Linked DNA regions of Drosophila melanogaster. The protein of the gene in region 2 purifies or fractionates together with the protein of the main gene of each other region. This does not show direct contact. Each region holds a gene or a part of one and is shown on either strand. Other genes may lie near its edges.

The links.
Region 1: the proteins of Hr51 (region 2) and Eip75B purify together in Drosophila melanogaster (affinity purification with western blotting, with the first as the bait; one study listed by BioGRID). This does not show direct contact.

The regions. Positions count from the first base shown.
Region 1 is NT_037436.4:18,061,558-18,066,725, reverse strand, and holds the start of Eip75B (Ecdysone-induced protein 75B), read left to right. Parts: upstream 1-2,029; 5' UTR 2,030-2,215; intron 2,216-5,168. UniProt on the Drosophila melanogaster protein: Implicated in the regulation of ecdysone-triggered gene hierarchies. Probably plays a key role in mediating the regulation of the larval molt by 20-OH-ecdysone.
Region 2 is NT_033778.4:15,329,330-15,334,545, reverse strand, and holds the start of Hr51 (hormone receptor 51), read right to left. Parts: upstream 3,222-5,216; 5' UTR 2,946-3,221; coding exon 2,900-2,945; intron 970-2,899; coding exon 579-969; intron 1-578.

The DNA.
Region 1 (5,168 bases), on a different chromosome or scaffold from region 2:
GCATGCCTGCGTGTCCTTGCCCTTGGTCCTTGGTCCTTGGTCTTCGCCCGATGGAGCAGTAGTAAGTCTCGTAGTGCCCCTGAAAACTCTTTTAACCTTCGTGCAGCCGTGTGGCAAGTGCATCGATGCAGCTCGCAAACATGCGCTTTTGCACATCCGCTCTATGCAGAGAGAGAGAAAGAGAGACGTTTTTAACTGGATTCAGATTGGGTTGACGGGGGCATCCTCTTAAAAGGACCAAGGGTGGCGTCTGGTTGCCCCTGCCACGTGTCGCCAGTTGCAAATTTCACGACGCTGTCATTGACCATGGTATTTGACCACTATTGTATTAGGGCTGCCAGGGCCAGTGTCTCAATGCAACGCCCTCGTTGCATTTGGAGGTCCTCAAGGAGACAGATTCGGTTCCAAAATGCCCCAGAAGACTGAACCTGAATTGGCAAATGTCTGCAGTGGTATTTGCAAGGTTAAATTACATTTGCTATAGTTTATTTGTACAGTCGTTAAAACTTAAAATAATAAGCATCGATATTCCATAAAATAAAATAGTCAATATGCAATTTCAGAGTTTCTATTAAAAAATTATAATAGTGTAGTCACGGGGGGTTTTCTTGAAACGCTGTCCGGGAACAGTGATGATAAGTTCTTGAAAGTTAATCCCGTCTTGTCAACAACAATGGCAAATAAGAAAATCAAGGTTACAAGATGCTGTTCCCTTCAAACCTATCCCACAGCGTGAAAGACAATGAAAGCCAGATCCATAAGAGTGCAACCCCCGATGCTGGCTAAAATCGAAGCTCATAAAGGAAGTATCTCTGCCTGGGACCGACCTTACCAAACAAAAAGTAGCCCATCGAGTGTCTAGGAAACCGCTTGTCCTCTTACTCCTTTCTCGCCTTTTCTGCTTCGCGGCCCTTTGATACCCACTCGCTTTCCACACCCCAAGTCCAAGAGTCTGAAGTTTGCTTTCATTTCGTTGCCCGAGGGGTTGCAACTCCAGACAGACAGGGACCGACAACCAGGATCAGAAAACCCGAGAAATCCACCCACTCGCCGACTTTTTGCAATTATTTTTAATTTCTGTGCTACGACAACTCCCGGAATGCCAAAACTTTGCAACCCCAAAAGAAGCACGCAAAAGGGGCAAGTCACTCCAGGCGGGAACCACGATATGTACTACTGTACACGTCAGAAACATGGAAATAAGCTTGGAAAGCCCGGTACAGGGCAACTTGAAATGTTGCGATATCGAGATCATTAATTTGGCCTGTCTAGTTGGATAATGATTATTTTATTATTTCTTTTTATTGATAGTTCATCATTTAATGAGTTCCTAAAAATTTTAATATAGGTTGGTAGGGATTTTTATTTTTTTCCAAGCTAGTAGTAAAATATATTTGGGTTATTAAAGGATGAAATCAACACACACCTTCCATATGTTCCACATGAAAACATCAGCAAATTTCTAAAAAATTCTTTCTAATTTAGCTAAACCAAAAAAAAATTAACATAATGCTCTAAAGAACTTGTTTAGTTGTTTAATTGTTTAAATAATTTTTCAAGTTTCAAGATTTCAGATTTCTTAAACTGAAAAATTAGCATGATTTCGATTTCTTTCTAGCGGGCATCCACTGTGGCGACGTACACGTCCGCGCCTGAGTTCCATGTTCGGCGTCCATTGCACCCCCAATCTGCTTTGTACATTGACTTCTCTGCTCCGCTTTGTTCTCTGCATTCGCTGCAGGTTCTGGCTCTGTCGGCCTTCCGCTCTGCTCTTTCTCTCTATCACTCTCTGTAATGGTGATGGTGCTCTCCCTTTTCTCTCTCTGTAGCCACTGTGCATTCCCATACCACGACCTACCTTACCCACACCCACAGTGCGCTGCCGCTGCACAACTCCCGCCCAGGCAGCGCAGTCGGCGTCGACGGCGACAGCGCAGTTCGTTTTCATATTGAAAGTAGAATTTTTCACTTTTGCGAAAATTTGCAGTCCAGTCTCGGTCTGGTCTCAGTCATTTTGAATACGTCATGTGGAACGCACCGTCACCGTCGCGTTCCGTCCTCTGTCGCGCTTTTCCTCTTCTGCGCAATCGTCTTACCAATCGGCGGTTAACTTTCGTTTGTTAGCACCAGAATTCGATCGGGACAAATAGCAATCCTCTGAATGCAGATACAAAAAGTATCTGCGTGATGCGTCCGAATAAGTGGTGAACTCTTTGTACGTGAATTGGATTAAGGCAGAGTTGTGTGAGTTTTGTGTGCCAATTCGATGCTATATAAATATCACAAGTAACAAGGGAAGCACAAGGACAGTCTTTTCAATCACAATCAGAATAGTGCAAACAATTGCCAAAGTTTAAAATTTTAAGCTGTGACAATATTAAATACAGAAATATCTATAAAAAAATATGGTGTAACATATTATTGTGTGCAAGTTAACACTCGTCGTCATTGAAAATAATTCAACTAACAGAAATCCTTTATATATAGGATTTGTGAAACTGATCTATCTTTAAATAGAAAACTTATGCTTAAACTCATGAACCATTCAACAAAATTCACTTAACTGCGCATAACTGAACGATGTTAAGCATATACATATGTATAAGCATTATGTGACTCATGAAAGCATAAAAAACGGTCAAATAATATCAAGAACGAAAAATGTGCATAGAAATGCTCTCAAATTGTTTTAAAATAATAAACGAAGCAAAAAGTAAAAATATAAAATTTGAAATAGTTGAACAAAGGTTTGCGAAGTACTTAACAGTTCATACAATCGAAAGCCTAAAAGTTAAAAGTAAATTAAAAGCAGGTTGCTAAACTAAACAGAACAATACGAAAACCGACAAACATAAGATAGAAAAGTGATCATTTTATATTGCACAAAACCATGTATAAGGGTCGCATGACCTTTAACTCTCGGATATCAGGCGTAACTAAGTCCTCAATTAGATGGTTAAATTTATTGACCAAAAAAAACGAACTCGAAAGCACTTATCCTTCCTGCTGAATAAGCTCCTTTTTTGGACCCATTCCCCGGCTGTCTGACTCATTCCACTCGGATGAAACTCCGTCTGGAGTTGCAACCCTCATTAGAGGCGAGCCACACCCCCTGCAAACAGAACGCAGCCCCACCACCCAACGCCCCCTGGCAACTCCGCTGAAATGCAGAGACCCCAAGAAAACAGAGGAGGAAAGCTAACAGGGGATCTGCAGCCCGTTAACAGAGCGCTGCTTGCTCAACTGTAGACGCCCTGTTAGACTCGCCTTGGTGTGGGTGAACTTGAACACACATACACTCACGTGCTCTATTTCTCTCGGCGCTCTCTTTTTATTTGCACTGCTCTCTTGCTCGATTTATTCTATTTCAAGTTCTTATTTTGCAATGCAAGTGTGTGCGATGTCGTTCAGTGTTAAGGTCAATACATTGCCGCCTCGTGCTGTGGTGTGCGTTTTTGATTGTAGTCTGTGTGTGGGCTTGCACTTGAAGAAAATGTGTAATCAAAGTATAATTTTTTATTTAACCGTAACGTTGATTTTCACTTAAATTTACTGTGGCTAACAACATAGATTTAATTATTATTACTAACCAATTTTTTTTAAATTAAATAAGATGTTTGAAATCAATTAAACACAACTATGTATGTGATTGCAAAATATTCGAATAAAAGCATCATTTTATTAAAAGTTTTATTAAAATAAATTGTTATATTTTAAAAGCCTGTTCAACATATACACTCTGTCAAATGGTTGCAGCTCGTGAGGTTGCATTTTGTTTGTTGATTACGCTGCTATTGAATGTTGTCATGCACACGCGAGTGCACACACTTGCACGCCGAGTGTCATCGCCTTTGCTCGTTTGCAAATAGCGGTTTATTCGGCGCCTAGCGTTTGTATCTCCGTACATTTTTCTGGAGGTCTCCCCCACTGACGTTTGCGGAAACTTCCGCTATATGGCCGCCATCGAATAGACAGGGAATTGTGGGGCATGAGGCATCATCTCATGGCGCTTGGAAAAAATATGCATTTGTTTCGCCAATGCCAGATGATTGCTCTGATTTCGTGTTATAGACAGGTGAAAGTAAGCGATGTTGATAATACTTCTTATTAAGTATTAAACTTTTGATGCTTAGTGATAATGAAAATGATAAATTTATTAAATTAAAGTTATCTGTAACAAGACTAAAGTAGAACAGCCTTTGTTTTTATAAATTTATGTTCAGATAAAATGTTTGTAGTCACTTTTTACAGGATGAACATTCAAAAACTTTCAACAAAACATAAAAGGCCAAGCCCCAACCCAAACTAATTTAATTTTATGCGCAATATTCCCTTTTTTGGCAATACAGCTCCATTCATCAATTACGAGCAGACCCCGAACCTACCTCAATGCGTAACCCTGCCCTTACCCAGAGAAAATAACCCAGTGTAGCCCAGACCAACCGAAAAGCGCAACCCCACGAAAATCTCTCCACACGCACATTACTCATACGCACTGAAACACGGAAGTTGAGTCCCGTCAAGTGAAACCCCAAATGGGAAGCGAGCAACCCCCGAATAATCAACCCTTAGCCACAAAAAACTCCAAAAACTCCCCCTTGAAACTGCCCCAGTCCAAATTTTGTTAACCCCCATCGCAAAAAAAAAGTTTAGAAAAATCCGTGTGCGTTCTTCTCTTTTGGCTGGCTCATTCGCGTTTATTTTTGTTTATTTATGTTTTGCTTTTCGTATTCTTCACCTCAGCTTCCTCGTACGCAGTCGCTCTCTCTCTCCGAGCCTCTCGCTTTCGAATTCTTCCCATCTTTGCAGTCGGATTCTCTCATTTTTCATACGGTTTTCACTTTCATTGTGCAGCTTTTTGCGCGAGAACCGACTCGCTTTTTTGTCGCTCTTTTCTGGTTCTGTTCTGGCTTTCAGAGCTTTTGCTGTTTCAGTCAGAGAAAGTACGGCCAACGCAACGGTTGCGAATATATTCCAACCTGTCGCGATTCTAGCAAATAAACAAAGCCCCACTGGCCGAGCAGAGAGTGAAAATATAAGGAAAAAATATATTGAAAAATATTATAATAAATATACATATAGTGTCAATAAATCGGGGAAATGTGCAATAATTATGGGAGCTCGCCAAGGTCCCTTATATAAGCGATAGCCCATTGTCAAGGGCGCCA
Region 2 (5,216 bases):
TCAGATTTTGGAAAATTCCCACGTCAAAAGAAAAAGTTTTAAACGAATTCACTTTAAATTCAATTACATTTTAAGCTGCAATCCAGAGAGAGGGGAGCGAAAGTAAAGTGGCATTCGCACATGATGCCATTCTGGGCACAAAGTCAACGCGAGGGCAAATATGCGCATTCAAAAGTTGACGCTCAAATCCCAAAGATTTGAATAATTGTAATGAATTTGCCGGAGCTCCGTAATCCGCCAGACGAGCCTCCGGGCACAGCGGCCCACACCCATCCCGGCACCACCCACTTTTGGGCAAATGTTGCAACATTTAATGGAAATGAAATGGTAATGACTGGATTTGGGAGCATAGTTAGGGCTACACTGAAATAAAACTGGCACCACACATTTAAAATTCACAAAATGGGAGTGTTTGCAGGGGAGTATCAATATATGTATTAATGGTTTAAATTACTCTTTATGCCTATATGGCATAATTACTTTACTCTCTATATGACGTGTTAAGGAAGTCCTTTTTGTTATTTATAGTTTTTATTTCTAATTTGAGGTCCGCAAAATATCTTTCTGTGTGCACTCACCGATAAATGAGTTTCCGCCGCACGCTGCGTTTGAAGAATCCGGAGCAGCCATTGCAGGCTAGGATTCCGTAGTGCTTTCCCGAGCTGGTGTCGCCGCACACCACGCAGATGAGGCCCAGGTTCTGACCCTTAATCCGGGTCATCGATGAACCCTCCGCCGCCGACGAGTGGTTCATGGAGTTGGCTGCCGCTTGGGCTGCCGCCGCCGCAGCAGCTGCAGCGGCACTGTGATTCCAGCTCAGCAATCGACCATTGGGCACGTTTGGGGCGGCGGGATGAGGGGGCGGTGGCTGTGTGGGCGGGGCCACGCCCGTTGATGTAGGTGGAGGCGCCTGTCCGTGCATCGGCGCCGGCGGCGGAGTGTAGCAATGCCGCTGCGGACTGTGGAGTTCTAAAGTTATGAAGCAGATTAGTGAATGGTATCTAAGAGAATCGAAATTGTATCTTTTTGTTATCTGGGAAGTTACTACGGCTTTATTAAGATCATACAGTTGGGTTTATTAGCTCGTATATAGATCTTAAAATCAACGAATTGTGCAAGTGGTTAAAGCTTAGTTGGCGTTTAAATATTAATAAATATTCAAAATTGTTTATAAAACGGGAAAAATAGTATACATAATGTTTAGCTAATACTAGCAGAATGTAGAAATGTAATGTATAATTCTATACAATTTCCGCACTGTAGCTTAACATTTTTAAACTTAACGCGTAATGATTGTCCTTTAGCTATTCTTTTCATCGGCATATTAAATGATTAATCTCGTTCCAGCATAAGACATTTAAAATTTTCGACCAGACTTAAGACCAGTTTTCCCGGTGGTAATGGGTGGTGCAATAAAAAATCACTTATGCAGTTCATATAAATTAAATCCCAATTTGTCAGTTGTACCGGATTGCGGATGCAAAGGACCTGCCGATCTTATCCCTGCGTGGCGACATTGACGCCCTGTAATCCGCAAATATATTTACACATTCAATTAGGGTGCCATTAAGCCAAACGGCTCTCGACCAGAGCGTGCCGAGCAATCTGTGCGCCAAATTTGCCTCGGGGGACGATTGTTTTGCCATCACACCCTAATTTGATTGTAGTTTCCTTACTGATTTTTTGATGCACTTAACCCTCGACGTTCCAAGGACGAGGCTGAGGACACATTTGTAACACTCGCCACTTGGCTGTGCGCTCGACCATTTGGGTTCGTGGTTCTGGTTTGCGTTTGGGTTTGGGTTTTGCTCCTGCTTGGCATTGGAATGGAAAGACAAAGTCAGGCGGCCATTCAGCCGGGACCAACTGGCAGGACTGCGGTCCAAAGCCGGAGGATTAGCGTCATATGCTTGCATTTTCCGGGGCACCGGGGCATCTTTGTTAATTTTATGGGCTCGTTGAAATTCACTTTGGCGCACACAAAAGTGTTAAGGGCGCCGGGATGGCTGTGTTATGAATTTCTGACATTTTTGGCGGCCTGACTCGGAGTCTAATTCAATTTGGTGATTATCGCAAATTGAATTTGCCTGGCCATTCGTGCATGCCATCAGCAAGTTGGGCATCGATTTGATTTGAGTGTCTCCGCAGACAACTGGTTCCTGCAAATTGGTAATTAAAATTGCCAATGTGATTTCCGAGCAGAGCGATCAGAATCCGCTTGTTTCTTTTCATGTTTTAGTCTGGGCATTTTACAATTGATCCAGTCATTTCAACATATAAAAAGTTATACTTCTTAACATTATATTTAAATTGGTCACACAGCTATAAAATAGATTTTCTATTCAAATCGCTAAACTTATAATTGACGTATAAGAATTCGCTTAAAAAAGGAGTCATATCTGAATATCATAAAATGAATTGTTAAAGTTTTTTTTTTGCTAGGAACTCAATCCTTAAAATGTGTGTTAGTTTTCGATATAACATTATTATTTCGGCACTAATTACAACTCACATTTGAAACAATTTTTTCCGTCGGGTAATTAGAATGAAAAAGCTTAAATTTAATTTATATTACGATGCCAGTCGTTTTTTGTAATCTTTGCTTTCACATCCTTTCCGTTTTTTTCTTTAACATATCACTTTTTTTATTTTCCTATCTTATCCGTCCTAATTAATCGTGGGTGTAAGAAACGTAATTATATTTCACGCACAATTTCCCAACAAACGTGATATTGTCCTTTTTAAAATTTGTTGGTAAAGGAATTTTTAGCCACCATTAGGGCCATCTTGTATATTTATTTTTTTATGTATTTAAGTAAGGAAACCACACCTTTGTGTTTACAGCTTAATAAATATATTTCATCACCATACTCATGTTTTTATTAACACACTAATTTACCTTGAGAAGATGGTCGTGTTTCGGAGGAATTTTCTTCCTTATTCATTTTGTTGAGCTTTGGCGGACTGCGATTAAAGATCACACCTCGTTGAAAAGTTTATTAACAATTGACACTATTTGTAAGAATTTCTAAAACACCACTTTTAAATGGCACTTTTCGGGTTCATCGCAGTAGGCTCCATATTAATTTGCAATCGTGGAGAGGCGACGGCAAGTGGACGGTCCTCTGATTCCCGCTGATGAAACCGAACCAATCCGATCCGACGGCGCTGCGAGTGTGCCGCGATGATGATGTTAACGTCTCGATGTACGATTTCAGATTCCGGATTTCAGATTTATCATAAAAGCGTGACAGGAGCTAAACACTGATGTGTCCACTCCAGCAGTCGGCCAACCAGCCAACGGGCCAACCCCGGACTAGGGGGAAAAAACCATATCGCAGGATATAATCCGCGGTCGCTGAGTGGGCAGAGAAGTCCTTGCCGCGCGCGTGTGTGTGTGAGGACAAAAAGCACGGCATACACTGCACACACACACACATAGGAGCAGGAAGAGCAGAGAGCATCGAGCAGCGAGCAAGGAGCAGCGAGCGAAGGATAACCGCACACCACCCACCCACCAACGGAGACTTTTAGTGGCAACTCTGGTGGCGCATTTGCTTGTTGGCTTGCTTTGATTCGTTCCTTCTTGATGCTGCGGCAGGAGCTTGTCCTCGCTGTTAGTGTTAGTGTGTTGGTGTGCGGCCCTGCGAGTGTGGGTAAGCCAAGCCGCAATCGCAATCTCCAATAAACACCCGGCTCTGCGCTCTCTGCGCACACACACAAGCACACATACCAAGGCACTCGAAAGAGCAGAGAACGCCCGGTCGCCATCATGACTCAAAAAAGCTGAGCGACGGCGGGGAGCGGAAACGGAAGTGGGCGGGAGAGCGGAAGTGGAGCAGAGCAATGGTGGCGCCCCACCAATACAACCATGAAACGAATGACGCAGCTGCGCGGCTGGCGCTCGTATAATCGTCTTGGGTTTTGACATTTTGTTTTTGTTTTATAATACCCTTTGTGATGTCGGCGCTTTCGAGCTTGCGTCGTCCTGCCCCTCGATCCTTTCGCTAACAGTTTGGCCCCCCTCTTGACCCTCTGCCAACGACGTCACTCTTGGCCTCGTATTCTAACCGCCCCCTAAAAGCCCCAACTTCCACCCAGAAATTGCCGCCACCCAGTAAACTGTAATTGAATTGAAGAAGAAAATGTTTCTGCTGGTGTCTGTGGGTGTACTTGGATCTAAATCAAGAATATTTAAGTGCACATATAACCAAAAGAGTTTTAAATTATATATATATTATAATATACATATATTATCCTAATATTATAATTTGTTTGTTTTTAAATATTTTTCTAATTTGATGGGTGATTTTATTTAACTTTAATATCACAATCATGTTTCATTTACCTTCCTGATTTTATTGCAACAATTATATATTTATATATTTAGATATAGATATTTAGATTATTATTTGTACAAGAAATTAAAGTAAGAACCAAGGCTTGTATTAAATTAAGTTTTAACGAATTTTAAGAAGCCTCATAGAACCAGTCATTCAAGTTTGTGAACTGTTCGAGAAAATATGCTGAAGACAGAATATATATGCTCAGAAGTGGGTTTTTATATTTTAAAAAGTATAACCTTAAAATATTTATAATGTCAAACTTAATGTAATGTGTAAAGATGTTCTATCTAATGGTCTACGTAGTCTTATTTATGCATACACATTTTTATTTACTCTCTATACATTATAATTTTATGGATAAGAGAGCCAGAGCTAGAGGTGGTCCCGGGTCCACTAATCCAATAATCGATAAATGCTGCTCGCAGGACCAAAACGGGCGGCATGGGGGCTCCGTTGTGCTCCCCGATTTTGTTGTGGGGCTTTTGCCATGCTTAATGCGCCGACATTAACTTTGTAACAAATGAGATGTCGGAATACAACAGTCAGGATCCTGGCAAGCCACAGCCCCTCCCCGCAGCTCCCTCCCTTGCTCCTTTCACCGCTCCTTTCTGCAATCTCGCTCTCTTCGCGGGGGAGAAAGCTAGAGAGCAGCTGCGGCTGGCAGAAGTTTATGCTCGGGACAAAAGTGAACAAATGCAAAAGTCAAAGCGCTTTGCCAGCATGGCCACGCCCACCACGTCGAGGGAGGAGCGAACGAGAGCGAGATAGAAATACAGAGAGACAGAGCGACGTTATCCTGTAACAGACGTGCACGCAGGATGCCCGTCGGTGTGAGCGAGAGCAATGACATCGTGCGAGCAGGACGAGCAG